7 linked regions of the Macaca fascicularis genome follow. The protein of the gene in region 5 interacts with the protein of the main gene of each other region in a pairwise test. Links are inferred from orthologs where the notes say so. Each region holds a gene or a part of one and is shown on either strand. Other genes may lie near its edges.

Evidence for each region.
Region 1: the proteins of CREB3 (region 5) and NDUFB6 interact in a two-hybrid assay, tested with the Homo sapiens proteins (2 studies listed by BioGRID and IntAct). The two-hybrid records come from large-scale screens. The link is inferred for Macaca fascicularis from reciprocal best matches to the Homo sapiens genes CREB3 and NDUFB6.
Region 2: the proteins of CREB3 (region 5) and STX7 interact in a two-hybrid assay, tested with the Homo sapiens proteins (2 studies listed by BioGRID and IntAct). The two-hybrid records come from large-scale screens. The link is inferred for Macaca fascicularis from reciprocal best matches to the Homo sapiens genes CREB3 and STX7.
Region 3: the proteins of CREB3 (region 5) and SLC29A1 interact in a two-hybrid assay, tested with the Homo sapiens proteins (2 studies listed by BioGRID and IntAct). The two-hybrid records come from large-scale screens. The link is inferred for Macaca fascicularis from reciprocal best matches to the Homo sapiens genes CREB3 and SLC29A1.
Region 4: the proteins of CREB3 (region 5) and HMOX1 interact in a two-hybrid assay, tested with the Homo sapiens proteins (2 studies listed by BioGRID and IntAct). The two-hybrid records come from large-scale screens. The link is inferred for Macaca fascicularis from reciprocal best matches to the Homo sapiens genes CREB3 and HMOX1.
Region 6: the proteins of CREB3 (region 5) and MS4A1 interact in a two-hybrid assay, tested with the Homo sapiens proteins (2 studies listed by BioGRID and IntAct). The two-hybrid records come from large-scale screens. The link is inferred for Macaca fascicularis from reciprocal best matches to the Homo sapiens genes CREB3 and MS4A1.
Region 7: the proteins of CREB3 (region 5) and VKORC1 interact in a two-hybrid assay, tested with the Homo sapiens proteins (2 studies listed by BioGRID and IntAct). The two-hybrid records come from large-scale screens. The link is inferred for Macaca fascicularis from reciprocal best matches to the Homo sapiens genes CREB3 and VKORC1.

Annotation. Positions count from the first base shown.
Region 1 is NC_088389.1:66,515,094-66,519,085, reverse strand, and holds the start of NDUFB6 (NADH dehydrogenase [ubiquinone] 1 beta subcomplex subunit 6), read right to left. Parts: upstream 2,801-3,992; 5' UTR 2,677-2,800; coding exon 2,497-2,676; intron 686-2,496; coding exon 593-685; intron 1-592.
Region 2 is NC_088378.1:36,426,606-36,430,105, forward strand, and holds part of STX7 (syntaxin-7), read right to left. Parts: intron 3,118-3,500; coding exon 3,024-3,117; intron 2,345-3,023; coding exon 2,207-2,344; intron 1,361-2,206; coding exon 1,308-1,360; intron 801-1,307; coding exon 704-800; intron 1-703. UniProt on the Homo sapiens protein: May be involved in protein trafficking from the plasma membrane to the early endosome (EE) as well as in homotypic fusion of endocytic organelles. Mediates the endocytic trafficking from early endosomes to late endosomes and lysosomes.
Region 3 is NC_088378.1:127,294,115-127,298,354, forward strand, and holds the start of SLC29A1 (equilibrative nucleoside transporter 1), read right to left. Parts: upstream 2,801-4,240; 5' UTR 2,488-2,800; exon of another isoform or gene 2,447-2,487; intron 2,299-2,446; 5' UTR 2,263-2,298; coding exon 2,205-2,262; intron 1,981-2,204; coding exon 1,843-1,980; intron 790-1,842; exon of another isoform or gene 653-789; intron 187-652; exon of another isoform or gene 86-186; coding exon of another isoform or gene 46-85; coding exon 1-45. UniProt on the Homo sapiens protein: Uniporter involved in the facilitative transport of nucleosides and nucleobases, and contributes to maintaining their cellular homeostasis. Functions as a Na(+)-independent transporter.
Region 4 is NC_088384.1:16,285,622-16,289,594, reverse strand, and holds the start of HMOX1 (heme oxygenase 1), read left to right. Parts: upstream 1-1,173; 5' UTR 1,174-1,255; coding exon 1,256-1,278; exon of another isoform or gene 1,279-1,479; intron 1,480-3,966; coding exon 3,967-3,973.
Region 5 is NC_088389.1:63,665,254-63,669,532, forward strand, and holds the start of CREB3 (cyclic AMP-responsive element-binding protein 3), read right to left. Parts: upstream 2,801-4,279; 5' UTR 2,601-2,800; coding exon 2,472-2,600; intron 2,379-2,471; coding exon 2,228-2,378; intron 2,157-2,227; coding exon 2,089-2,156; intron 1,975-2,088; coding exon 1,885-1,974; intron 251-1,884; coding exon 144-250; intron 54-143; coding exon 1-53. UniProt on the Homo sapiens protein: Endoplasmic reticulum (ER)-bound sequence-specific transcription factor that directly binds DNA and activates transcription. Plays a role in the unfolded protein response (UPR), promoting cell survival versus ER stress-induced apoptotic cell death.
Region 6 is NC_088388.1:13,753,568-13,756,380, forward strand, and holds the end of MS4A1 (B-lymphocyte antigen CD20), read right to left. Parts: intron 2,341-2,813; coding exon 2,122-2,340; 3' UTR 501-2,121; downstream 1-500. UniProt on the Homo sapiens protein: B-lymphocyte-specific membrane protein that plays a role in the regulation of cellular calcium influx necessary for the development, differentiation, and activation of B-lymphocytes.
Region 7 is NC_088394.1:29,273,799-29,277,844, reverse strand, and holds the start of VKORC1 (vitamin K epoxide reductase complex subunit 1), read left to right. Parts: upstream 1-1,246; 5' UTR 1,247-1,314; coding exon 1,315-1,487; intron 1,488-2,608; coding exon 2,609-2,718; intron 2,719-4,046.

The sequences.
Region 1 (3,992 bases), about 2.8 Mb from region 5:
ACGCCACTTCCCAAAATGTATGCCCTTCTCATTCTGCCTGGGATCCAACACCCTGCACCAGACTAAGCATTTAAAATACCATGACTGGCTGAGTTCAATCAGCCCATGCAAGATCTGTATCAGTGAAAAAGTGCAGGCATCTGGACATCCTGAGTTCTAAATAAATAAAAGTTGTGAAGAATCAGATAAAATGAAGGAAACAGAAATAGGATGATGACAAAGATAAGCTTTGTCTATTTTGAATTTTTATCTTATACCAGATATAGGTTTTTTAAAAGGAGCAGAAATTCTTTTCTCCTTTCCTATTCATGACCCCAAATTTACCCTAGTATTATTAGGTCACTACATTCTTATCTCTTAAATACCAATTTCTATGAGGAAATCCATTCCAAGTTGTAAACTAGTCACAGTATTTTTTTAAAAAACTATACCCAATTACGTAACTTTCATTAAACCTTTTACCTAAGAGAATTCAAAGTACTTCAAAATCCATTTATAAGTGGCAGATTATTTCCACTAAGTAGGGTAAGATATCCACATAGAAAATAATTTTGGACAATATAAAAATAAATTCTGAAGAGGACATACTTACAGACACATGATACTTCAGGTAATAATGAATAATCCAGGCAGGTACAAGTATATGAGTGAAAATAAAGATACCCTTTTGGTATACCCCATGGACCTGGCGGAAAAAACACATACACAAAATAAACATATCCCATTTTTCATATTTATGGCAGAACAAAAGGCATCAATGATGTAACAATGTCATTATTATTTTACAAAACTCTAAATGGTACATATTTTCTTATAGTTTGTAGGTAACCTCATCTACTCAAATATTCTTAGTAAATGCAGAGTCCACTAGAAGATACCTACAAAGTCCAGACCAAAATGCTTAAATAGTATTTTGCAAGAATATAGCAAGGCATTTATAGATTTTTTAAAGACTTTAAAAAATACCCTTATTATAAGTTTGTTAAAGATAAAATAGAGCAAATTAATGAAATAATAATTTTAATGTATTTAACCAGAGTAATCAAACCTCATAATTTTTCAGGTATAGTCATCTCCCTTATTTATTGATCAATGGCACTCACATTATTTTAAGTATAAGGCAGAAAACCTTGACAACACCAATGCTGGAAAAAGGACATTTTACATACTAATGGGTGTCCCAAACTCACTCCAAAATGCCCTCTGCAACACTATTTTAAAAAAGAACTAAAAATGGAACTTTCCCATGTCCTCCAATTTGATTACAAAACACCTATCCATTCAAGGAAGGGACAATCAAGAATCTAAGAATTATAACAGATATGATTATAAAAGAATACATTAAGGTAAGGTGAATTTCAACACATGATAATTTATTTACTTCCTTTTATCACTGGCTGATGGATGGGATGTCAACTTAAATCAGTGACTGCCAATATCCCGATAATGTCAGGGATACAAAGGGTGAGAGAAGAGTTGAATTTTACCACCATAAATAAGTATCCAATACCACTTTCTCAGAAAAAATTTTCAACAATTCTATTGCACTAGACTTTGTAGTACAGTAAGAAATAGGTACATGTTGATTTCAATATGAACTCCTTCAATTCCTAGCTCCCTGACCACCGGCAAATCACTGAATCTTTATAGGCCTCAGTTTCTTCACATTTAAAGTGAGGATTAGGAATATCTACCTTGCAGGAATAAAGAAATGAAGTAACATTTGTAAAACCCTCAGTAGAGTGCCAAGTACACAGCAAGCACCCAGGTGCTACTTAGTATTATTACTACTATTATCAGTAAGTGTTGTAGGTAACTGAAAGCAATTCTGAGATGTTTATCACCCATAACAGACCTCAAGAAAATACCCAGAGGCCTTGAAAATAAATTTCTTGAATGAGTGATTTTCTTCAAAGTCCAAAATGTCATTTTTTAACGAAACCCTGTGTTAAAAGTACAGAACGGTAGTTTAGAAAGGTAGCTCTTGAATGTGACTCACAAGGCATACCAACAGGACCCTGTCTTTTACGGGGATCACATGGGGCTGTACTACCAGCTAAGGGCTGGCTGTGCCCTCTGGTAGTTGGATACTGTGTTACTTGATCTCTAGAACGTCACACTTAAAAGTTAGACAAGTGTCCTCAAATACTTAAATCACAGAATTTTAATTCTAGCGAGTCCTTGGCTATTATTCTGAGGGAAGATTTCTACAGTCAAAAGAGAACCAAATGTGCAGCGTCCTGGAAAACCTAAGTATTAAAATTCGCCCCCGTCTCACTGTACTTGACAATAAAAGGCATGATTCTCTCAAAGCCATACATATTCCCGGACTCCTGCCTCCCGGGACTCCAGGAGCGCTCTCGGGACTGGCCAGTGTTTCCCAGCACGGAGCGGTTATCAGTCCTTGGTGTGGCTGCAGGGAGCGGACGTTCAGTGTCCGGGCTGCTGGCCGCGGTGGGGTGTGTTGAGGGGGGACCGGAGAGGTCTGTCACTCACCGTTCTCCTCCAAGGGGATTTATTCTCCAAAAACTTATTCCAGAATTTCTCCATAGGCCACATCTTCTGTGGGGGCAGCACCGGCTCCCGAGCGCTCAGCTCCTGGTCCTTCAGCCATCGCCTTCTCAGCTCTCGCAGCTGTTGCAGCCGCAGTTTCTCATCCGGAGTATACCCCGTCATGTCTCCGCTGGTACCAAGGCAAAAGGACACGACCCACCCTCGAACTAGGGACTAGTTACTTAAGCTCGCTCCCGCTCTGCAAAGCGACCTTGTGGGAACGCCGGGCGCCGCGCGCGGTTATTACGTCACATCCTGGTCCTGCCTCTGCAGGGGCCCCAGAGTCCTAAGTGTCCGGGCATGCGCAAAGCTCTCCACCTCCAATTCTCTCTCCGCCCACCGCCGCTATACCCGACCAGATTATTACCGGGTGGGGATGAGGAGTGCTCTTAGTTTTGAGGCCTGAGGAAAGTGACAGATTAGACGAAAGTATGCTAAATTAGAGGACTGGAGGTTTTGCTAAGGAAGAACTTGTATGCTGGGAGCAGGAAGGATACGCATAAGTGTTTCAGTGAATATGCTGTCCAGATACGAAATTATTTGCTTGTCTCTGCCACCTTGGAATGACCTAGAGAGTGTATGAAAATAGTTAACATCCAAGTTCAAATCCCAGCTGTGCCAGTAACTGCTGAAGTGCCCCAGGCAGCTGTCTCATCTGTCCCTCCATCTGTACAGAAATAGTGAAAAGAGTAGCTTAATATCTAGCAAAATTGCATGGATGCATTCATGCTTTCACCCAAAAATACGTGTGGTGAAAATATGAAAGGGCATGCACGACTATTCAGCATGATTCGTAATACCAAAATATTGGAAATTACCCCCAAATTCCTAAATAAAGGAATGCTTGAATAAATTATAGTACAACAGTCGAAAGACAGCGTTACAATGAATTAGTTTAAAAATCTTAATTGACTCTTATTTGTGATTCTAGACTCAGAAAACACCCCATTCTATAAAGTAGAATGAGTGTTCTGATCAGCTGAGCAGAGGCGGTTGGTTTTATTGGCAAATAGGGGCTGAAGAAAGCAGAAACAGAACAAAAAGCAGACTCGTCGTTTCAAAGTTATTTTTCTCTTAGAGTTAAAGCAGAAGGAACTTCCTTGTTTCACTGACTCAGGCTTAGGGGAATTTCCCATTTTTTGGAAAACTGGCCCATTTCAAAGTTCAGTTTGATTACGTTGTACTTAGCACAAACGACTCCATTCTGATTTGGTCTGGTCTGCTGGGGCCTAGTGCATGAGGCTAGTCCAAAACAGTGGCTTCCCAAAAACTTTCACACAACAAAGCAATGAAATGCTAATATAATTGAGAAAAGTAATGGGGAAGAACTCTATATACATCTGTGGTGTGATTTCCAGGATACATTATAAAGTGAAAAAAAAAATGGATGGGAATTTATACAGTATGCTTTTACCCAAAAAGAGAAAGATGGTGGTAAT
Region 2 (3,500 bases), on a different chromosome or scaffold from region 5:
GAAATAAAATTCTTTGAAGGCTTTATAAAAGGTCTTACTCATGCACGTATGATGTGTATCATGTATCCTGGGAAGACATCCAGACTCTCGGACAGACATTTATCTCTACACTGGTATTTTCTCAATACTAAGGTAGTCCATAGATGGCTTAATAGAATCATAATTTTTTAAAAGCTGCAGTAGGAGGGAGTATGTTCCCTCATCCTAGCACAAACAGTAAGGACAATATTATTTTTTTCAAAAAGGAATTATTCTAATTTATACATTACAAATGCTACCAAACTGATACATTAATTTTCTTTCTCTGGGCCAGACATGGTGGCTCACACCTATAATCCTAGTACTTTAGGAGGCCAAGGCAGGCAGATTACTTGAGACCAGGAGTTTGAGACCAGCCTGGACAACATGGTGAAACCCTGTCTCTGCTAAAAGTACAAAAAATTGGCCGGTTGGGGTGGCACATGCCTGTAATCCCAGCTACTCAGGAAGCTGAGGCATGAGAATCGCTTGAATCTGGGAGATGGAGATTGCAATGAGCCGAGATCATGCCATTGCACTCCAGTCTGGGCGACAGAGGGAGACTGTCTCAAAAAGAAAAAAATAAAATTTCTTTCTCGTACGCTCTGCCAGCATTACCTAAGCATTTTGAGAACAAACTCACTAAGAACAGGGTAGCAGCCCAAGTCTACAATGTAAGCCTTACTTCAAGTTGCCTGATAGAAGATTCTCTCTCATGAATAAGGCGGAGGTCATCCTCTGTAATTTCTTCATCCTGCACCTGCACTTGAGGTTGAGTTTGGCTAACAGAAAAAAATGAATGTGGAAAAAAACAAAGATTGGTATTCAAAACAATGAGATTCATTTCCTATTTAAGATATATTCATTAAATAGGACGTTTTACTCTTCAAAGTCGCAGAACTACTCACTTAAAAAATTCTAAGACTATAACAGATATATGAATAAAATTTTATTCATTTTTCATTTCACTTATATCATTTTATCTAACGTGAGTTTAGAGTTATTACTTAATTATTGGAAGCTATATTTGTCAACTGGGTATTTCTTCTTAGTTGATTTAAACCTCATATAAGGGAAAGTCTATATTATTAATTAAGTCCATAAACATTTATTTGGAAAATTTTATATATTTTATGATAAATACTTTATAATTAAATTTTTTTTCAAATTTACTCTGTTTTCAACATATAAACAACTTATATTGAAAGCTTTAATTCTGTTCCAGGGGCCTTAATGTATAAACTTTGAAAAATTACCTTTTGATCTGAAAAATGTTTTGTATTTCTTACCTTTCCCAGGATACAAGATTCCTTTCTTTTGAGCTGTCCTCAGGAAAACCGCCCTGAATGATTTAGTAACAGGATGGAATGAGAAGTGGCAAAGAAAGCAAAAATGAGAAAAAATAAACACTCATATTTTCCCTAATAATCTAAACGATTTATGTACATGTCTCTGTGTGTGTGTGTGTGTGTGTGTGTGTGTGTGTGTGTGTGTGGTGTGTGTAGAGAGAGAGAGAAAGAAGTTCTTGTTCTAATTTTTCAGGTCAACTGCTTCAAGTAATAACATAATTATAAGTAATTTTATATTCTAAGTAGACAAACACTAAACATTCTCAAGGGTCAAATAAGTATTATTTAGTTAAAGCTTAATGTAGTCTTGGAATTCATATGTTAATGAATAAGAAAACTCGTGATAGTTTGTAAGGGAATTTAAAATTAAATTAATTCAAAATTCTATTGTAAAGCTTCCTTTCATTTATTTTCTCCAGGCTCATGTTCATTTTCAATATTCAGACAACATAGTTGCGCCATTCATCTCCGTCATCTTGGTGTAATCCAGGAGGAAAGTGCTTTCTATACTAGTGTGTCCACAAGCAGAAAGCCTCCGTACCAAGACGATGTGAGAATACTACTCAGGGTTTGATCCCTCATCTTTTTTGACAAAATACGTCTCTATATTTTTATATAGTCTGTAATCTTCTGTACAATGACACAGAAAAAAAACCACAGTAATACATAATTATCATCTTCTCCAAAAATGGAGCAGAAAAGCATAAAAATGAATATTCAAGTGCTGATTTCCAAGTTAGTCACAGATCTTTATGACTTAAAAAATTATGCTACTATAGACTTTGATAGGACCCTTAGGAAGTAAGGGTCGTTTCTAGAATGTCTTTTAAAATACTCACAGACACTCTGGAACTGGCTCTTACTCGAGCAACAAACTCTTTCTCTCGCTCAGCCGCTTGCCTCTGAACCTTCTGGAAGTTTGTCAGTGATGCTGTGAACTCTGCCACTAAGCGATCCTTCTGTATTTTCCTTTGACGCTAGAGGAAAGAGAAGAAAAAGCCAACTAGAATCTAGCTGTGAAGTAAAACAGTTTGCAGTACTTGGTTCTTTATTTAATCCTGAAGTTTTCACTTGCTCCCCAATTACAGGGCCTTACGGATTAACTCTCAACAACATTCTGACAGTATGTCAAATACCGAGCATATTTAACTGGAGGCAAAAGACCCATTATGCTGGATTTCTCACCTCAAGTTTTCATGCTGCTAAAAACTAGCTCATTATTTTGAGGCTATTTTAAAGTAATTCCTTTTCAGGCAAATAAAGCCTTATACTTTTAGCTAAGTAATAACTTCCATTAAATAAGCAGGGAAATAAATATATGCCCCCAGGACACCTCACATCTTGAATGAGCCTGCATGTTCCACGCACTCAGCCCCGGAAGGCCAGGAAATAATTACTCAGGAAGCATTTTCTGAGAACTTACTTAATTATGGGTCAGGGCAAATGCATGGAAATAATTTTTGCTTTATTGAACCACAGGATACTACCTGAGCAATTAAATATAGTTTTGTGTTCTATGAACTAATCTCAAACAGAATTATTTTTGATTTCCTTTCTAGCATAATTTCCTTTCTAGCGTAACAGTTCAAAGATCCTACAACGTATTTGGTTTTTTTCACATTCAATGCATCAACAATGTGTCTTAAAGCTTGATACCTGTTCACTGGGGGTGGTGGGCAGAGATCCAAACTCTTTAATGTACTTATCTGTTTCTTTGGCAAGCTGGTTAGTATACTGCTGCTTCTGTTGCCTAAAGTGAGAAAGCACGCATTACAACCAAAGGACTAATACACTTCTTTAAGCTACAACTCTGTCATTTGAATCAACACTGACAAAGAGTTGTACAAAAATTGCCTTTTCATAAACTGGCTCTCAACTTTCTCTATCAAAAAAATTTCATATCCTATTCTTTGATAAATATTGAGCAAATATTACATGTCAGGTTCTTCACTGACACAGGGTAGGTGAGCTTAGAGAAACCAGTATCAATGACCATTTAGAAACACAGATGACTCAAATCAGAGGGAACTTGAAGGAGAGACTGTTGGATGTCTGATCCTTTGTTTGAGATACTGGGGATGTGGCAGCCCTTAATCTGCATCTCACACCTGGAAGGTCAGGTGAGCAAGAAAA
Region 3 (4,240 bases), on a different chromosome or scaffold from region 5:
GTGCTCCTAGTTCAGGCTCAGGCAATGGGCCTTGTCCACGGGCTCCTGGGTGCGGATCCAGAATGAAAAAGGTGGCACAGGGCATATCAGGAGAGAGTCCCTCAGGCTTCCTGGGGCCCCATTCTGAGAAGGCTTGCAAGCAAAGAAGCAGAAGCACACCCAGGAGATAAAAAGCCACCCCTGTCGCTTGGGAGATAAGAGAACAGGGAGTCTCAGCAGGGGAGCTCTCACAGGTGCAGCATTGCTCCAGGGCCCACTCAGACAAACAGTAGCAGCTGGGCACCATGAGACATTCTATGGGCTCTCCCAGTTCCCTGTAGCTCCTCTCAACCCTCGCTGGGGAAACTCCAAGCTCTCCGAGGTCCTCCTCGGCCCCTCACCCCACACCTCCAGATGGAGGCAGAAGGATTCCTGCAATCACCCCTTCAACAAATATTTACTGAGGACCTCTGCATGCTAGCCAGGCACTGTCCTAGGCACCAGAGTGGTGAATAACCATATTTACATTTTCTAGGGGCCGGGCGCGGTGGCTCAAGCCTGTAATCCCAGCACTTTGGGAGGCCGAGGCGGGTGGATCACGAGGTCAGGAGATCGAGACTATCCTGGCTAACATGGTGAAACCCCGTCTCTACTAAAAATACAAAAAACTAACCGGGCGTGGTGGCGGGCGCCTGTAGTCTCAGCTACTTGGGAGGCTGAGGCGGGAGAATGGCGTGAACCCGGGAGGCGGAGCTTGCAGTGAGCCGAGATCACGCCACTGCACTCCAGCCTGGGAGACACAGCGAGACTCTGTCTCAAAAAAAAAAAAAAAAAATACATTTTCTAGGGAGATGAAGGCAAGAGGGCATTACTGGGGTGGGGGTGGGGGTGGGGGAAAGGCTCAGGTCTCAGGTTTTCTTTTTCCTTTTTTTGAGATGGAGTTTTTGCTCCTGTTGCCCAGGTTGGAGTGCAATGGCACAATCTTGGCTCACTGCAAATTCTGCCTCCCAGGTTCAAGTGATTCTCCTGCCTCAGCCTCCTGAGTAGCTGGGAATACAGGCTCCTGCCACCACGCCTGGCTGATTTCTGTATTTTTAGTAGAGACGGGGTTTCACCATGTTGACCAGGCTGGTTTGGAACTCCCGACCTCAGGTGATTCACCCACCTTGGCTTCCCAAAGTGGCTGGGATTACAGGCATGAGCCACCGCACCCTGCCTAGGTCTCAGGTTTTCTATTCGGTAGTAAGGACTCTTCCTTTAGGTTCTTACCTCATACCCGCATACCCTGTACTCCACCCCACAGGCAAGATTCCTGGAAGTAAAGGGCAGGTGCAACTTCAAAGCAGATGGAGGCCTGGGGTGGGGAGAATAGCTCCTGTTTTCCTGGGTAAAACTGGCTTGGGCTTAGAGAAGAAGTATTTATTTCTTCCCTATCCCCCAGCTACACCCCTGCTCTCTCTGTTCTCAGGAGTTCCCATTCCAGTCTTGGGCACAATTCAACTCCACCACGGGCAGCCCTCTCCTCCTGCCCATATCCTAACATTCAGCTGGCCAGCCTTCGTGTTTTGCTCGTCTGCCTTTGCCCAGCAGCAAACAGGGATCTGATACCAGCTCAGAGCATCCGGTGTCCCTCCAACTATGCCTTGGCCTGCTGAGGTGGGCCCCTGAAAGCAGCCACCAAATTGAGTACCTCCCTGCCTCCAGACTCCCAACACCTCTCCTGCAATTCTCCACTCCCAGGATCTCATATGGGGCCAGCCACTATCTGCAGATCTCTCGTCTTTTCCTCACAACCACCCATAAGCTAGTACTAGCACTGAATAGATTGGGCCAGCTGAAGTTCAGAGAGGTTGAGTAACTTGCCTGAGGTCACAGAGCTGGTGAGTGGAGGAGCTAGAATCCAAATTAAATGTTCAAGCTCCTTTTGGAATGGAGAGAGGTATAAAAGCTGCTTCTCAGCTAGCCCTGTAGACTGGGAGGTGGGGGGGAACTCTGATCCAACTAAAGGGAAAAATGAGGTGGAGACCAAGATCATTCCCAGCCTGACTTGAGTGTCAGGCACCTCAGCCCCGCCCCATCACACACATCCTGGCATGGGGAGCTAACACAAGCAGGAGGAAAGTTGAAGGGTCTGGAGGCCACCGAGAGGAGTAGGCAAAAGGACGACAACGGGGCTGGAGAGAGACCCCTAGAGGTGTGAGGGCAGGGTTGGAGCCAGCCTTGACCTACGACTGCTCTCTCCTGGTAAGCAAAGCCGAGGAGTGTGTGTCTTCGCCCTCTCATACACTCTGACAGTAAACCAGTAAATGAGGACGTGCGCTGGAAGGAGACGCCAGGGATACGACTTTAGCCAGTAAAAGACCCAGGTTAAAGAGACAGCCCCGCACCTCCGCTCGCGAGCCTCCATCCCCATCCCCATTCCCCTCCGCCAGCGCAGTCGGCGGCACGGCCCCTCCCTGTTACCGACCAGATCGATCGGGATCACCCGTCCACTCGCCTGCCCCTTACGGAGGTCAACGTGACCGCAGTCTGTTTCAGGCCCGGGAGACAAGCTGTCCAGCCCAGCTCGGGTCCCGGTCCCGGCAGGATCCTCTGGCTCCCTGGCCCGTGCGCGCCACGTGCTGCGCGTCTCCGCACGCTCCGCACTGGGGCCCCACCCGGCGATCCTTCTCCGGGCTGCGGAGCCGTCAGACCCGGCCTCCCTGCCCTCCGTGGCAAGCGGGCAGCGGCGTCTTCTGCCCTGGCGGTCCCCAGTCCCCGGCCCCGGGCAGCACCTGCCTGAGAAGCAGTGCTCTCGCGCTGAGAACCGCGCGCTCTTCCTGCAGCTTCCCGCGCCCGCCGGGGCACATTCAAACCCGCCCTCTGCTGGGCCCGCCCCGCCCTGAGCCCACTGCCACCTCCCTCCCTACACCCGCGAGCCCGCGGCCCCGCCCCCGGCCCGCCCCGCCACCCCACGGCGACTCCGCGCGCTCTGCGGTCCCCACACCGAGCCCCTGCGCCCCCAGGGCCGCCTGGTGGTGTTATTTCGGTAGACAGGACCTCTTTGGGCCCTGCCACACCAAGGTTGTCCTTCGTGTGGGGCACATGGGGCTGGAGGGTACAGCCACACATTAAGGACCTGAGCAGACTCCCATAAAATCTATCTCGGGACTGTTCCATTTACACACCCGCTACTCAGAACGGCCCCGACGCCCTACGGCCCACTCCACCTCAGATGTTCCGTTATCTCTTCCCCAGCCCCGCCCACGCCGCGCTTCCTCCACACTGCACCTTTTTCCTCCCAGCGCCCTCCCTTTCAACGCCCCCTTCTTTCTTTCAGTCCCCCTCGTATTTTCCTTCAAAACTGCTTCTGTCCCCACCTCCCATTTTCTGTGACCAGCATGATGGTTTCCCCATCCCTGACACATCCAGTCCCAGCCACAGACGCGCAAACACCACACCACCCACAACTTTGACTTGGAGGGGGTATGTGCCTCTGCCTGTGCTTGTGTGTGCGCGCGGAGGGGGACAGGGGCACAACCCTCCAACTCCCTCATAATTCACCCTTTCTAAATCCAGCACTTTGGAAAACTGAGGCACAGCTGGGAATGGGAAGAGAAAAAGCCAGGAACAGCCTGACATCCTGAGTGAATCCTATTGTCCCAGCCGTCCTGAGAGGCGGAAGCCTTGCTGATCACGTCCTCCACTAGCTGAGGAGGAAGGTGTGGGCGTGCTGAGGGGTGGTCCAGCAAGTCCCTCCAAGGGAGGGGGAGGGAGGCCCTCTCTTTGGTTGAGCAATAAATGGGGTGGGGTGGGGTGCACTCCCTGCCCTTCCAGCAGCACTCAGTGCTAGAGCGTGATCCTAAGGCTGGAAAGGTCCTGAGGAGAAAATCCAACCCACGCTGCTCACCCCATGCCCACTGACGCGAAGGGCTTGTCCCCTAGAGAAGCCACAGACACTGATTAACAATTGGCAGTACCTCACATCATAGGGATAAGGTAGTCCTATCCTGTCCCCAGAGAAACAGACAGAGCCCTAAGGAGAGAGGTGGCTTTTCTACTTAGGGTCAGTGGCTCTCCCCAAGCTACTCCAGAATGGGTGTCCCAGCCTTGTGTTTCCATGCCCCACAGAGATGACACACATATCCCTTCCCAACCCTCACCCACCCCACCCATCCCCCACATCCCCGCCAGCCCTAACCAGAGGGCAGGAAGATGGGTTTGGGTGGTGTTTTTCTAGGCACTGCTCCGTGACTTGAGAGTGGCTTCATGTCTGTCCACA
Region 4 (3,973 bases), on a different chromosome or scaffold from region 5:
CCCTATGTTGCCCAGGCCAGTCTCGAACTCAAAACAATCTTCCTACCTCAACTGGGCTCAAAGCAATCTTCCCACCTCAACCTCCCAAAGTGCTGGGACTACAGGTGTGAGCTACCATGCCAGGCCTGAAAGCCATCTTATAAAAAACAAAAAAACATTAGAATGAGAATCATAGCATTGGGAAATGACTCTATGAAATCTATGAATCATCTGGTCCATTTGTTTTGTCCTCTGGGTTCACCCAATGACCCTCTTTTCCCCAAGTTCTCAGCAGTGCACCTCATGCAGAATTGATTCAATAGGCGATCAGCAAGGGCCAGCTCTGCTCTGGGCCCTGAGCAGGCACTGAGTATAAGTCAGACCTGAATGTGCCTGGAAGAGTGTCCCACGCAACCCAGCAGGGAAGCAGTTTGTATGACAGGTGTCCCAGTCCAGGCGGGCACCAGGTGCTGCCGGAGTGTGGAGGAGGCAGGCGGGGACTTAGTCTCCTCCCTGGGTTTGGACACTGGCTTCCTGCTTTATGTGTGACACCACTGCACCCCTCTGAGCCTCAGTTTCTCCAGCTGCAAAATGGGAGCGATCTACCCCCACAGGTCAGTTGTAGGGATGAACCATGAAAATACTGGAGTCTCTGTTTTTTGACAGGAACTAAAAAACCAGATCCTAAATGTACATTTAAAGGGGGTGTGAGGAGGCAAGCAGTCAGCAGAGGACTCCAGAAGGTGGCAATTTAGGGAGCTGGAGACAGCAGGGTCTGGGGTTGCTAAGTTCCTGATGTTACCCACCAGCCTCCTGCTCTGAGCAGCGCTGCCTCCCAGCTTTCTGGAACCTTCTGGGATGCCTGGGGTGCATCAAGTCCCAAGGGGACAGGGAGCAGAAGGTGGGGCTCTGGAAGGAGCAAAATCACACCCAGAGGCTGCAGCTTCTCAGATTTCCTTAAGGTGTGTGTGTGTGTGTGTGTGTGTGTGTGTGTGTTTTCTCTAAAAGTCTATGGCCAGACTTTGTTTCCCCAGGGTCATATGACTGCTCCTCTCCACCCCACACTGGCCCGGGGCGGGCTGGGCGCGGGCCCCTGCGGGTGTTGCAACGCCCGGCCAGAAAGTGGGCCTCAGCTGTTCCGCCTGGCCCACGTGACCCGCCGAGCATAAATGTGACCGGTCGCGGCTCCGGCACAGTCAACGCCTGCCTCCTCTCGAGCGTCCTCAGAGCAGCCGCCGCCCGCGGAGCCAGCACGAACGAGCCCAGCACCGGCCGGATGGAGCGTCTGCAACCCGACAGGCAAGCGCGGGGCGCGGGACGGGCGCCTTTCCCTCCCCTCCCAGCTGGCCTCCCAGTCCCACCCGGGACACTGCCACGCAGCGACAGAGCCCGGGAGCCAGAAACTTGGGCCCTGGAGTCAGGAGGCGCGGGGTTCTGATCCTGCCTGTGCCCGTAGGGTGGCTGGAGGGAGGAACGGTGATTTACATGCCTGGCACCCTGGTATGCGGTTGGGGACCAAGATGGGAGTGTCCTTAGAGTATCCAGCCTTTGAGGTAGCCAGTTTTTGTTAAATCCAACTTTCGAGGTGTGTTTGGAGTTGCTCTCTGCTGAATCTAGATCTCTGGGGCTTCCCTGTGAGGGAGTCAATTTTGTTTTAATCCAACTTTTGAGGTGTGCTTGGAGCTGCTGTCTGCTGAATCTAGATCCCTGGGGCTCCGCTAGCCTGGGAGAGCATGCTTGGTTCTCTTGGTGGCATCTGTCCCTCACTAGCTACGGAGGACCTGAGCCAGACATCACCCTGGCTACGTTGTTCCGCGTCTCACAAATAAGGATTGCCCAGTTCAGGCAGGCGACACGCCCTAGAGTACTCAGTCAGCAGGTGTCAGAACTGGGTGTTGAACCTTGGCCTGCCCACCTCCAGGTCTCGCTCGTTCCCTTCTTTCAAGAATTTCTTAGTTTTTTTTTTTTTTTTTTTAACTCCTGGGCTCAAGCATCCTCCCACCTCAGCCCCCAGAGTTAACTGGGACTTACAGGCGTGTGCCGCTTCTCCCAAGAATTGGACCAGCTGTGTTGTAGAACAGGGGATGATGTTCCGGGAAGCAGGGCGGGAGGAAAGGGAAAAATGACAGTTCTATGGGGACGCAGGGATACGGACCCATGACAGAAATACTCCCGGAGAGATTTTTTCTTTAACTAAAGCAGAATTTTTCAGAATTTTTAACCCTGACGTCTTCATGATGAGCATAACATGATAGGGGGGTCATGAGATTTGCATCTGAAACTTTAACAAAATAACTGAATTAAATATTGGGTCTAAAAGCCAATCAAAACAATTACAAACTTTGAGATGCGCGTTCATGGGGCCTCTGCTTTTTCCTGGGTTATGCTGTACCTCCTCCTCCTCTCCACTGGGAACTACCGGTACCAGGATTTCCCCCTTGGTTTGGGGGACTGTATTATTCAGTGTTTTATTTTATTTTATTTTATTTTATTTTATTTTTTTTTTATTTTTTATTTTTTGAGACGGAGTCTCGCTGTGTCTCCCAGGCTGGAGTGCAGTGGCGTGATCTCGGCTCACTGCAAGCTTCGCCTCCCGGGTTCACGCCATTCTCCCGCCTCAGCCTCCCAAGTAGCTGAGACTACAGGCGCCCGCCACCACGCCCGGCTAGTTTTTTGTATTTTTAGTAGAGACGGGGTTTCACCATGTTAGCCAGGATAGTCTCGATCTCCTGACCTCGTGATCCACCCGCCTCGGCCTCCCAAAGTGCTGGGATTACAGGCTTGAGCCACCGCGCCCGGCCTATTTTTTTTTTTTTTTTTTAGACTGAGTCTCGCTCTGTCACCCAGGCTGGAGTGCAGTGGCCGGATCTCAGCTCACTGCCAGCTCCACCTCCACGGTTCACGCCATTCTCCCGCCTCAGCCTCCCGAGTAGCTGGGACTACAGGTGCCCGCCACCTCGCCCGGCTAGTTTTTTGTATTTTTTAGTAGAGACGGGGTTTCACCATGTTAGCCAGGATGGTCTCAATCTCCTGACCTCGTGGTCCGCCCATCTCGGCCTCCCAAAGTGTTGGGATTACAGGCTTGAGCCACCGCGCCCGGCCTGGCCTAGTGTTTTAATGACTGAAGAGTGTTTACAAGGCTGCAAGAGTCACCATGCCCAGCCTGAATTTGTTTTTTTGTTGTTGTGGATTCTGGGGTTTTTTTTTTTTTTTTTGCTTTTTTTTTTTTTTTTGAGATGGAGTCTTGCTCTGTCACCAGGCTGGAGTGCAGTGGTGCAATCTCGGCTCACTGCAACCTCCACCTCCTGGGTTCAAGCTATTCTCCTGCCTCAGCCTCCTGAGTAGTTGGGATTACAGGTGCCCAACACCACACCCGGCTAATTTTTTTTTTTTTTTTTTTTTTTTTTGTATTTTTAGTAGAGATAGGGTTTCACCAATGTTGGCCAGGCTGGGCTCAAACTCCTGACCTCAGGTGATCTGTCCGCCTTGGCCTCCCAAAGTGCTAGGATTACAGGTGTGAGCCACCATGCTTGGCCTTTTTTCTTTTTCTTTTTTTTTTTTTTGAGATGGAGTTTCTCTGTCACCAAGGCTGGAGTGCAGTGGTGTGATCTCAGCTCACTGCAACATTTGCCTCCGGTGTTCAAGCAGTTATAGGCATAATCGCCGGGATTACAGGCATCCGCCACCATGCCTGGCTAATTTTGTATTTTTAGTAGAGATGGGGTTTCACCATGTTTGCCAGGCTGGTCTGGAACTCCTGACCTCAGGTGATCCGCCCACCTTGGCCTCCCAGGTGCTGGGATTACAGGCGTGAGCCACTGCACCCAGCCACAAGGCTGCATCTTAAAGCGATTGGGAATGTGGCCTGAATAAGAATGGGAGTCCTTGGAGGCCTGCTTATAGGTGGGTGGCTCCCCTGAGCTCAGCAGTTGGGAAGGACCCCACCCCCAGCCAGCTTTGTGTTCACCTATCCCATTTCCTCCTCAGCATGCCC
Region 5 (4,279 bases):
GAAGCTGTACTTTGTTCTGAAGCTCCATATTCTGGGCTGTGTATTTCAAGACCCTGGGGGAAATAACAAAGATATGGGGATATGGCCTGTGTCCTCCCTTCAAAAACCTAACACTTAAAACTGAGTCCCTCTCCCTTTCATACCTGCTCTCTAAACCCCCAACATACACCTTCTTTTTCCTGCGGCTCTCTTGAGCAGATCTTTTATTTCGAATCTTCCTCCGCACACGTTTCAGAATTTGTTCCTCCATCTGAAAGGAAACAGGGAAAGGGGTATCATTAGAGGGACTCTAGAACAAGAAGTTGAAAGGCAACTGAGATCCATCTCTTTCCAATACAGAAATCCCTTCTACAGCTTCCCTGACCAATAGGCATTCACATTCTTTCTGAATGCCTCCACGGAGCACGTGTTAACCCTAACAAGCCAGACCATTTTAAACTATTAAAAAAAAAAATTGGTCAGGCAATATTCAAGTGACATGGCTCATGCCTGTAATCCCAACACTTTGGGGAGCTAAGGCAGGAGGACCGCTTGAGCCCAGGAGTTTGAGACCAGCCTGAGCAACACAGTGAGACCTTGTCTCTACTAAAAATAAATTAGCCGGGTGTGGTGGCACATGCCTGTGGTCCCTGCTCCTCAGGAGGCTGAGGAAGGACAATCGCTTGAGCCTGAGAGGTCAAAGCTGTAGTGAGCCATGATCTCACCACTATTCTCCAACCTGGGCAGTAAAGCAAGAATCTGTCTTCAAACAAAAACTTCCTTATCCTGAACCAACAGCTGTCTCCTTATAATTTCTATACGTTGGACTTACCTAGTATCTCTGGGGCCAAATAGAATGAACCCTGTTAAGCTATTTTCAGGCATTTGACATTTCCTCAGAGAAAAAAAGTTCAAGAAAAAAACAGCTTAGACAAAAATTTTAACTCATCTTCTTAGGATAGACTGCATCTTCTTAGTATCTGTCAAAGATGTGCTCTAGCCAGTATAAAGGAAAGCAAGATAGTGACTTGTGGAGACAATAACTCTTGCTACAGTTTCCAAATCCCATTAACTTTCCTAGTAGCCACATCGCACTGCTGACTCATCTTGTACTTTGAAGGAATTAAAATTCTTTACTTTTGGAGGCCAAGGTGGGTAGATCACTTGAGCACAGGCGTTCAAGACCAGCCTGGCAACAAGGCAAAACCCCATCTCTACTAAAAACACCAAAAAAAAAATTTGCCGGGCAGGGTGGTGTGCACCTGTAGTCTCAGCTACTCAGGAGGCTGAGGTGGGAGAATCACCTAAGCCCAGAAATTCAAGGCTGCAGTGTGCCATGATCACATCACTGCACTCCAGCCTGTGCAACAGAACAAGACCTTGTCAAAAAAAAAAAAAAAAATTCCTGGAACCTTTCTATTAATGAGCACTGATTTCATCATAGTATCCCAGTACTCTGCTTGTGAAGTTGCCACTGATTGCTTAAAACTGGAAACTAAGGATTTTGCATTTATTCATGTACTGCTTAGTCCAATCGTGTTGAACTCTCTAAACAGTTCTACCATTCAGCAAGAGGTGGATTACTATGAAGCCAATGAAGTGTCAAGGCCCTTCACTTACACAGTCCTTTCCAAGGCCCAATACTAATGTTGCACTGATAATTTTGAGGGTTTTTTTTTGTTTGTTTTTTAACAGAACACCAAAATTTGTGTAAGCCCAACGAAAATGAGGATCTGCCTTGCATCTAGCATATTGGGTACCTGCCTCAACTTCCTATTAGCAATAAATCTGCTAAGTTTCTCACCTCAATCCTTTTTTAAAGTTATTGATATAAAGTTAACAGAATTGGCCTACTTGAGACTTTTAATCCCTTTTCAGCCTTTGCTCAACTAACGAGAGTCTTACCTTAGTGAGAGGAAGTGTCTCAGGCAGAATAAGCCCCTCCTTCTCCAATAGACTCTTCTCCTCATCTGTCAGTACCAGCCTAACAATATCCTAGGGTAACCAGAAAGTGGGCGGCAGTTGCATGGGGATGTCACAGAGGAATGGGGAATCCTGCCCCCACCTGAGGAATGTGAGAGTAATCTTCCTGAAAATCAAGTCAAGTACCTGCTCTGCCAGCTCCTCCATATGCTGTGGAGTCATCTGGGTCCCCTCTTTTCTACAGCTCTCACTCTCTGCAAAAGGGAACGTATGAATAGCCAGGCCCATGAACCCTGTCCTCCCCGCAAACTTATTTCAGACTCACCTAGATCCATAGAGACAGGTTCTCGTGGGAGGGAGTAGGTGTGGTCATGGTGGACAAGGCAGGGGTTGGAGTTGCTGAGAACGTTCAACGACGACGCTGGGGGACTCAGCAGGGAGCTCAGCAAATCATCTACCTCCCAGTCGCTCGGTACCTGCGCAGGGTTCCAGTGAACAGGCCTTGACCTATCACCATCCCCTGACCTCATGGACATCCCACGCTTTCCCCAGTCAGAACCCCAACGCACCTCAGAAAGCGGCAGCTCCCAGTCCAGTGGGGCCCTCACGGACTCATCGGGCGCCGTCCTCAAATCTCCACTTTCCTCTAGCAGGAAGCCCAGTAGGTCTTGGTCACCAGCGTCCAATTCCAGCTCCATTTGGGACAACTACGGAAAGGGTGGGCTACCGGGCCCCAACGTCCGAAGCCCAGACACGAGCCCCAGGCCAGCTGTAGGCCTCGGGCACCTATCCACTGTCCCTCTACGGCCGGGCTTCCCGGCCGGGGGCTTTCCGTAGCCCTCTCCGGACCCGCCTCCCAGGCTCAATTCTCCTCAGCCTCCAACGCAGCGAAAGTGACGCACCCCACCCCGTGGCACTGTGGGACTTGGAGTTCCCTCCAACTGAGAAGAGGCCTGGGTGCCGCGCCACGTCCCAGGGGCTATGCAAATGTAGGGGACGGCCCTGCTGCCGCCTCGCACCCCGAGGGCGGGGGTTCCAGGGCTCCGGCTCCGCCTTCTCCCCCAAGCTAGAAAAAGGAAGAGTTCTGGCCTGAAAGGGAACTCGGGCGTCGTCTTGGCGTTCTCTCCGGATTGCGCCGCACCCTCGCTTCCTGCCAGGGAGGGGCTGCCGGCCTTTGGCGGCCCCCGAGCATCGAGAACGCGGCCAGAGCAGCTTCCTGCCTGCCCCCCGCGACCATAGAGCGCTGCCCCAGGGCGCCGCCCGCGGGTGGGGGACGTTCCCAGGACGGAAGTGGCCGAGAGAGTGTCGAAGGGAGGGCGAGGCCGGAGCCCGAGGGCGACCCGAGAAGCGGCAGGGCAGCGGGCCGGCGGGCCGGCAGGCGGGGCGCAGAGCCGGGCAGCGCAGGTAGGCCAGACCGGGCCGGGCGGGGGCCTTAGGGTGGGGCCGCGGAGCCTGGCCCCGGGGGCGGGCGGGGCCCTGCCTCTCCTGCGTGTCCGGTTCGGGTTCTGTTAGTTGGAGAGGTCAGCGTCCAGCGCATCTCAACTTGGGCTCATCGTGAAGTAGGCCGTCTTAGGGGAGACAGGCCTCTCCTGGGGGCAGTCCTCTGCCTGGGATAGGCTTTGGGGAGCGTGAGGAGTCGGGTGGCAGCGGGGCGCAGGACGGGGACGGGCTTTGGTGTTAGCTGATAGCGGCCATGTGGGTAGGAAAGCTTTGGGTGAGTTGGGGATTAGGTGGGGTCCGTTTAGGAATCAAGGGTCGCTATAGGAGTTAAAAGCTGGGGTTAAAACTTAAGAGTTAGTAGTGTGAGTCAGGTCCGTTTTAGGTAGGTAAGGTTTAGATTAAGGTCATTATTTTGTTTGCTGGGATGGCCATCATACGTCATAATTTGAGTTCAGGGTCGGGTTAAGGGTCAACAACAGGAATCAGGTTAGAGCCTGTTTGAGGGATTAAAGAATGTTGACATGGTCGGTATTAAGGATAAACAGTGAAAGTGTGAGTTAGGAATCAAGTTACAAATGAACTTTAGGCTTAGGGGTCAACATTTAGGGTTAACATCAGGCGATTTGGTGCTAAAGGTAAAACTTAGATCAGTATCAGGGATCAGGGATTGGATATGAGTCTCTGCTGGGAAAGGGATGAATGTCCAAGCCGGTAGTGGGAATCAGGAAACAAATTAGAGGTGGGGTTAATGTTAGGAATTTGGGGCAACTTTAGGGGTTGTAATTGAGGCTAGCATAGTTGGCCTTGAGCAGATGAAATTTAAGAGGTTGGCAGTAGGTAAATGCCCTTCTTTTGTAGGGAAGTCCTTTATTCCTGTGTAGTTACAGGGGCTTCTTTTCACCCAGAGAGATAACAAACTAATTTCAGGCTAGTGTTC
Region 6 (2,813 bases), on a different chromosome or scaffold from region 5:
GAATTTTCATTCTTCTTTAATAGCAGACATTAAAGATGTCCCCTATTTTAAGAACTTATGTGAGGTCAGCCAAAACTAATTATTTGAGGTTGTACAAATGACTCAAAATTCTTGGAGAAACCATGGGTTTGGAGAGGAATCGTCATATATATTTCAGAAATGGAGAAAAAAATAAGATAGAAATAACATCTTGTATTTTTTTTAAAGATTTCTGACTTTCATTTTTTTTTCTCAGGCCTGCCCCTACCATGCCCTATCCTACTTCTCTCATATATTTCAGTCATCTGGAGTTCTGGGAGTAAGGAATCCATTATCAATGACCTATCCCATGAACATTGTCTTTGGGAACCTGTGTAAGACTATATAGACATGAATATTTGATGACCTGACACCTCACAGTTCAAACCTAGATTGGGGTTTTGTAAATATGAACTCAAGGCTGTAAGAGCCTCCCATGGTCTAATGTTTCAAGAGTAAAGAAGAATAGACAAACACCCATGTTGGAATCATCTGTTGCAGAAAAGAGCACAAAGATAGTTTTATTAATTTAGAACGAATTTTGAGAACTTTACATAGACAGAAATGTTCTATCTCCTTTTTTTTTCTAATTTTGAGGAATGTCTTCCACTAGTGGTCTCTAAAAATGTAGAAATATCACAGGGAGTGCAAATTACATTGTCTCTTTACCTGCCACAATCTGGCAGCACTCATCATGTAGCAAATGCCCAAATAATAGACTACAGATTATAGTGACCTCACCCTAGGTTAACATTATTTCTAAGTAAGGTACTAATATATCTGAATTGAAAAGTAAGGCAGCTATTGACTCAGATTTGGCATTTTAATTACATTGTTTCCGAGTAGGATATTCTGAGAATGTCTATAGCACTTAGTGTCTGCTTTATATAAACTACCAGTTAATTATATATTTATGATGCAAGTAGTTTTCCAAATGTGGTAGAAGTCTGAGTCTTTTTATCCCCATAGGTAAAATCTGACTCTGACCCTCTGTGTCTCTCAGTGCTTGTTTAGTGCTGATCAGAGGGTAAGTTCTTGATAAAAGCTGTTGACTTGGCTCTCACAATTTATGCAGACATTGGGGAGACAATTTGGTTATCTCAAACATCACAGGATTTGAGTAAGAAGACCTCGTTATGAAACAAGGCTCTCGTAATTACTAGTTATGACTGTTGATAAGTTACCTTTTCTTGTTTACAAGTTATGTGACCTCTTTGAATTACTTGTAAAATAGAGACAGGGATGTTTTCTTGATCATGGAACATCAGATGAAGTTATTTGATGAAATACTTTGTCATCTGGAAATTATAAATACAATGAAATGTTGATTATTATTTGAAATTTGGGCACCTCATTGTGGCATTTTCTATGGTCATTTTTTTCTTTTCTTGCATAAAGGCTAAAAGTAGGTAGACATGCAAACAATAGCCTAGAGTGGGAGTCAGGAAGAGTTAAGGCAGAGACATGTCCATGTATAAGCTATGCTGTTTTTACAAAAACAGATGAGTGTTGGCCATTTAGAGCTTCCCTCATGGGGTGTGGTAACTCTAAGAACGTGCCACAATGTCAGCCCTGTAGAAAGATAAATGGAATAGGTTCTGTATTGTCCCTAGTTGTTATTTTTTTAATCGTCCTTAAAACAGTGATGCCAAAGGGACTCCACCAAAAGCATAGATGTGGAAAAAAAAAAAAAAAAGATAGTTTAGGAATGTTGTGAAGTAGTCATATATCTTTACCATCAGGTGCAGTCTCTCTGGTTGCTGATGGAGAAAATGAAAAAAAAAAAAAAAACCAAAACAACCATACTAAAAAGCCTATCCAAGGAACAGGTTAGTAGGAAATCACATTCTGAAGCACTCATTCTGCCTTTCTTCAACGTAAGAAAGTTGCTCAAAAGAAGAATCATGACAACACAAGCTGCTACAATGGCTACATTCTCTACATTCAGTGTAAGAGAGAAGGGGCTATGGTCACTCCATGCAAACGCCAGATAGAGATGTGGTGGGTATGTGCAGAGTACCTCAAGAAATGAAAGTCAGCGTGTCTCTTGGAAGCTATGAACACTAATGTTTAAAAAAGGAAACAGAAAATAGAAGAAATCATTTAAGGAGAGCTGTCATTTTCTATTGGTGAAGATTCCTGATCTTGGGGAGGTTCTGGAAAGTTTGTCTCTGTTTCTTCTTCTTCCTCTTCTTGGATTGGAATAATTTCAATGTCTTCTTCATTCTTTGGTTGGGAAGATGTTTCAGTTAGCCCAACCACTTCTTCTTTTATTTCAATGACTTGTTCTTTTTTTTCTTCAGCTGACAGGAGAACTACGCTCTAAAACACAAAATTAAACAAACTATTCTTTACTTTTACCATTGACACTTTTGTCAACAATCTCTACAAACATTTATCAAATAGCTCCTGGTTTTTATGCTACTTATTATTATATGCCTTTAAATGCCAGGATTTATTTTGCAGGTGCTTAAATCCTTATCAAATCACTTATTAAAACTCAAGTCTGAGTAAATCTTCAAGGGCAGCAGACATTTACCATAGTGCCTGGAATGACCACGTGGTATTGGGAAAAGAACGTTGCAGTAATAGAGGAGTTTAGATTGTTGTTCTGATTTGCCTTTCGTGAATATAACTCTGGGAGAAGAATTTTCCCTCTTTGATACTATTTTTCTTTAAATGCAAAATGAAGTAATTAGTGATGATTTCTAAATTCTATTCTTAATCTAACAGTCTGGTTCTGAAGCAGTTAGTAATATATCTATTATTGGTCTCTTTTTATTTCCATTTGTGGA
Region 7 (4,046 bases), on a different chromosome or scaffold from region 5:
TAACCACTGGGTCTAGCGTCTTGGTGACACCAGCCACTAGGTGTCAGGGCAGTGCTGGAGGCAGCAGCTAGTTTATGGCGTGGGCAGTGAGGAAGAAGTGAGGAAGTAGAGACTGGGAGTGTAGAATCTTTCCAAAAACTTGCCTGTTAATGCAGGGAGGGGAGGCTGCTGAAGGACCTCTTAGTGAAGGGAGATGTGTTGCTGTTTCTGAGATGGGAAAGAGAAACAAGTTGCAATGTAGATGGGGAGGACGGAGAGGTTGAAGGTGTAGGAGAGATGGGTCACCATCAGATGGGATGTCTGTGAAGGAAAGACCTCAGCAGGCCCACAGCTTGGAAAGGAGAGACTGACTGTTGAGTTGATCCAAGCTCAGGTGTTGTCAGGCAGGTGCCATGATAGTAGAGAAGTTAGGATACTGTCAAGGGTGTGTGTGGCCAAAGGAGTGGTTCTGTGAATGTAAGGGAGAGACCCACCAGCAAGAAGCGCTGGTGAGGCAGGACCTGGGAGGATGCGAGGCTGCAGCCCGAATGGTGCCTGAAATAGTTTCAGGGGAAATGCTTGGTTCCCGAATCGGATCGCGGTATTCGCTGGATCCCCTGATCCTCTGGTCTCTAGGTCCTGGATGCTCCAGTTCTTACAACAGGACTTGGCATAGGGTAGGCCCAAATGCTGTTAGCCACATTAACGCAATTTTTTTTTTTTTTTTTTTTTTGAGACAGTCTCACTCTGTCGGCCAGGCTGGAGTGCAGTGGCACGATCTCGGCTCATTGCAACTTCCGTCTCCCCAGCTCAAGCAATTCTCCTGCCTCAGCCCCCAGAGTAGCTGGGATTACAGGCGTGTGCCACCATGCCCGGCTAATTTTTGTATTTTTAGTAGAGACGGGGTTTCACCATGTTGGCGAGGCTGGTCTCGAACTCCTGACCTCAGGTAATCCGCCAGCCTCGGCCTCCCAAAGTGCTGGGATTACAGGCGTGAGTCACCGCCCCCGGCCAAAACAGTTTTTAAATCTCTGGAGACGTCATTTCCCTTGACGCCTTGCAGCCGCCCCGACTACAACTCCCATCATGCCTGGCAGCCGCTGGGGCCGCGATTCCCCACGTCTCTTACCCGCTTCACCAGTCTGGGCGTTCTTAGCGGTTTTCCTAACTCTCTCGCCTGACTAGCTCCCGGGAACAGCCGTTTGGATCGCGGAGTGCGAACCCGGCCGGCCAATCGCCAAGTCAGAGGGGCAGGAGGGGCGTGGCCATTCCCCGCCCCGCCCCTGCTCCGTGGCTGGTTTTCTCTGCTGGCGCCTCGGACGGAACCTGGAGATAATGGGCAGCACCTGGGGGAACCCTGGCTGGGTGCGGCTCGCTCTTTGCTTGGCCGGCCTAGTGCTTTCGCTCTACGCGCTGCACGTGAAGGCGGCACGCGCCCGGGACAGGGATTACCGCGCGCTCTGCGACGTGGGCACCGCCATCAGCTGTTCCCGCGTCTTCTCCTCCAGGTGTGCACGGGAGTGGGAGGCGTGGGGCCTCGGAGCGGGGCGGCCAGATTGCCAGATGATTATTCTGGAGTGTGGGATCGGTGTGCCCAGGGAACGGACAAGGGGCTGGACTGCTCGCGGGGTCGTTGCACGGGGGCTGAGCTACCCAGAGATACTGGTGTTCGAAATAAGAGTGCGAGGCAAGGGACCAGACAGTGCTGGGGACTGGGATTATTCCGGGGACTCGCATGTGAGTTGGATGCCAAGGAATAACGGTGACCGGGAAAGGCGGGGAGGCAGGATGGCGGCAGAGATTGACGATGGTCTCAAGGACGGCGCGCAGGTGAAGGGGGGTTGGCGATGGCTGCGCCCGGGAACAAGGTGGCCCGGTCTGGCTGTGCGTGATGGCCAGGCGTTAGCATAATGACGGAATACCGAGGAGGCGAGTGCGTGGCCAGGGAGCTGGAGATTCTGGGGTCCAGGGCAAAGATAATCTGCCGCCGACTCCCAGTCTCTGATGCAAAACCGAGTGAACCGTTATACCAGCCTTGCCATTTTAAGAATTACTTAAGGGTCGGGCGCGGTGGCTCACTCCTGTAATCCCAGCACTTTGGGAGGCCGAGGCGGCTGGATCACTTGAAGTCAGTTTACCAGCCTGGCCAACATGGTGAAAGCCTGTCTCTACCAAAAATAGAAAAATTATCTCGGCGCTATTGCAGGCTCCTGTAATCCCGGCTACTTGGGGGCCTAAGGCAGGAGAATCGCTTGAACCCGAGAGGCGGAGGTTTCAGTGAGCCAAGATCGCGCCACTGCACTCCAGCATGGGCCACAGAGTGAGACTCTGTCTCAAAAAAAAAAAAAAAAAAGAATTACTTAAGGTCTAGATGAAAAGCAGGGCCTACCAAGTAGCCACGTCAGGCCTGGTCTGGGGAGAGGGGAGGATAGGGTCAGTGACATGGAATCCTGACGTGGCCAAAAGTGTCTGCTGACTGGAGGTCATCGACCCTTGGTCTAGGATAGGAGGTGGGGAACAGAGGATAACCCAGGTGGCTTCTTGGAAATCACCTTTCCGGGGTAGGGTCCAAGGCACTAGGTTGACATTCCTAACCTGGTTCCACCCCCCCACACCACCCCTCTGCCAGGTGGGGCAGGGGCTTCGGGCTGGTGGAGCATGTGCTGGGACCGGACAGCATCCTCAATCAATCCAACAGCATATTTGGTTGCATCTTCTACACACTACAGCTATTGTTAGGTGAGTGGCTCTGCCCCCTCCCTGCAGGCCCCGGCCCTCATCCCCCTTGGTCAGCTCAGCCCCACTCCATGCAATCTTGGTGATCCACAGCTGATAGCCAGCTAGCTGCTCATCACGGAGCATCCTGCAGGTGGAGAGGTGGGGAGGTAACTAACAGGAGTCTTTTAATTGGTTTAAGTACTGTTAGAGGCTAAAGGGCCCTTAAAGACATCCTAGGTCCCCAGGTTTTTTGTTTGTTGTTGTTTTGAGACAGGGTCTGGCTCTGTTGCCCAAACTGAGGTCTAGGATGCCCTTAGCGTGCACTGGTGCGATCTCAGCTCATAGCAACCTCTGCCTCCCTGCCCAAGTGATCCTCCCACCTTAGCCTCCCGAGTAGCTGGAATCACAGGCGTGCACCACTATACCCAGCTAATTTTTGTGGTTTTTTTGGTAGAGACAGTGTCTCGCCATGTTGCCCAGGCTGGTCTTAAGCGATCTGTCTGCCTCAGCCTCCCAAGGTGCTGGGGGGATTACAGGCATGAGCTACCATGCCCCACCAGCACCCCAGTTTTGTGGAAAAGATGCCGAAATTCCTTTTTAAGGAGAAGCTGAACATGAGCTATCTTTTATCTCATTTAGTGCTCCGCAGGAAAATTTGTATCTGGTCCCAGGAATTATTGAACAGATAGGGGAACCAAGGGAGTGGGAGACGATGGCACCCCAGGCCTTGCTGATGCCATACCCTGGAGATGAGACTACCTATTACCACCCTTCCCAACAGGCCCCCACACTCCCTTTGAGTCACCCTTCCCAGCTCCAGAGAAGGCATCACCGAGGGAGGCCCAGCACCACGGTCCCTGGCTGACACATGGTTCAGACTTGGCCGATTTATTTAGGAAATTTTATTGCTCAGAACTTTCCCTCCCTGGGCAATGGCAAGTTCCTTGGAGGGAACCTGTCAAAGCCTTTTTTTTTTTTTTTTTTTTTAAGAAATCATCTTGCTCTGTTGCCCAGGCTGAAGTGCAGTGGCACAATCATAGCTCACTGTAATCTGGAACTCCTGGCTCAAATGATCCTCCTGTGTAGCTGGGACTAGAGTTACATGCCACTGCACCCAGCTAATTTTTATTTTATTTTTTATTTTTTGAGACATAGTCTTGCTCTGTCACCAGGCTGGAGGGCAGTCGCGTGATCTTGGCTCACTGCAACCTCTGCCATCCCGGTTCAAACAATTCTGTGTCAGCCTCCCGAGTAGCTGGGACTACGGGCGCGTGCCACCACGCCCAGCTCATTTTTGTATTTTTAGTAGAGAGGGTTTCACCCTGTTGGCCAGGATGGTCTCAGTCTCT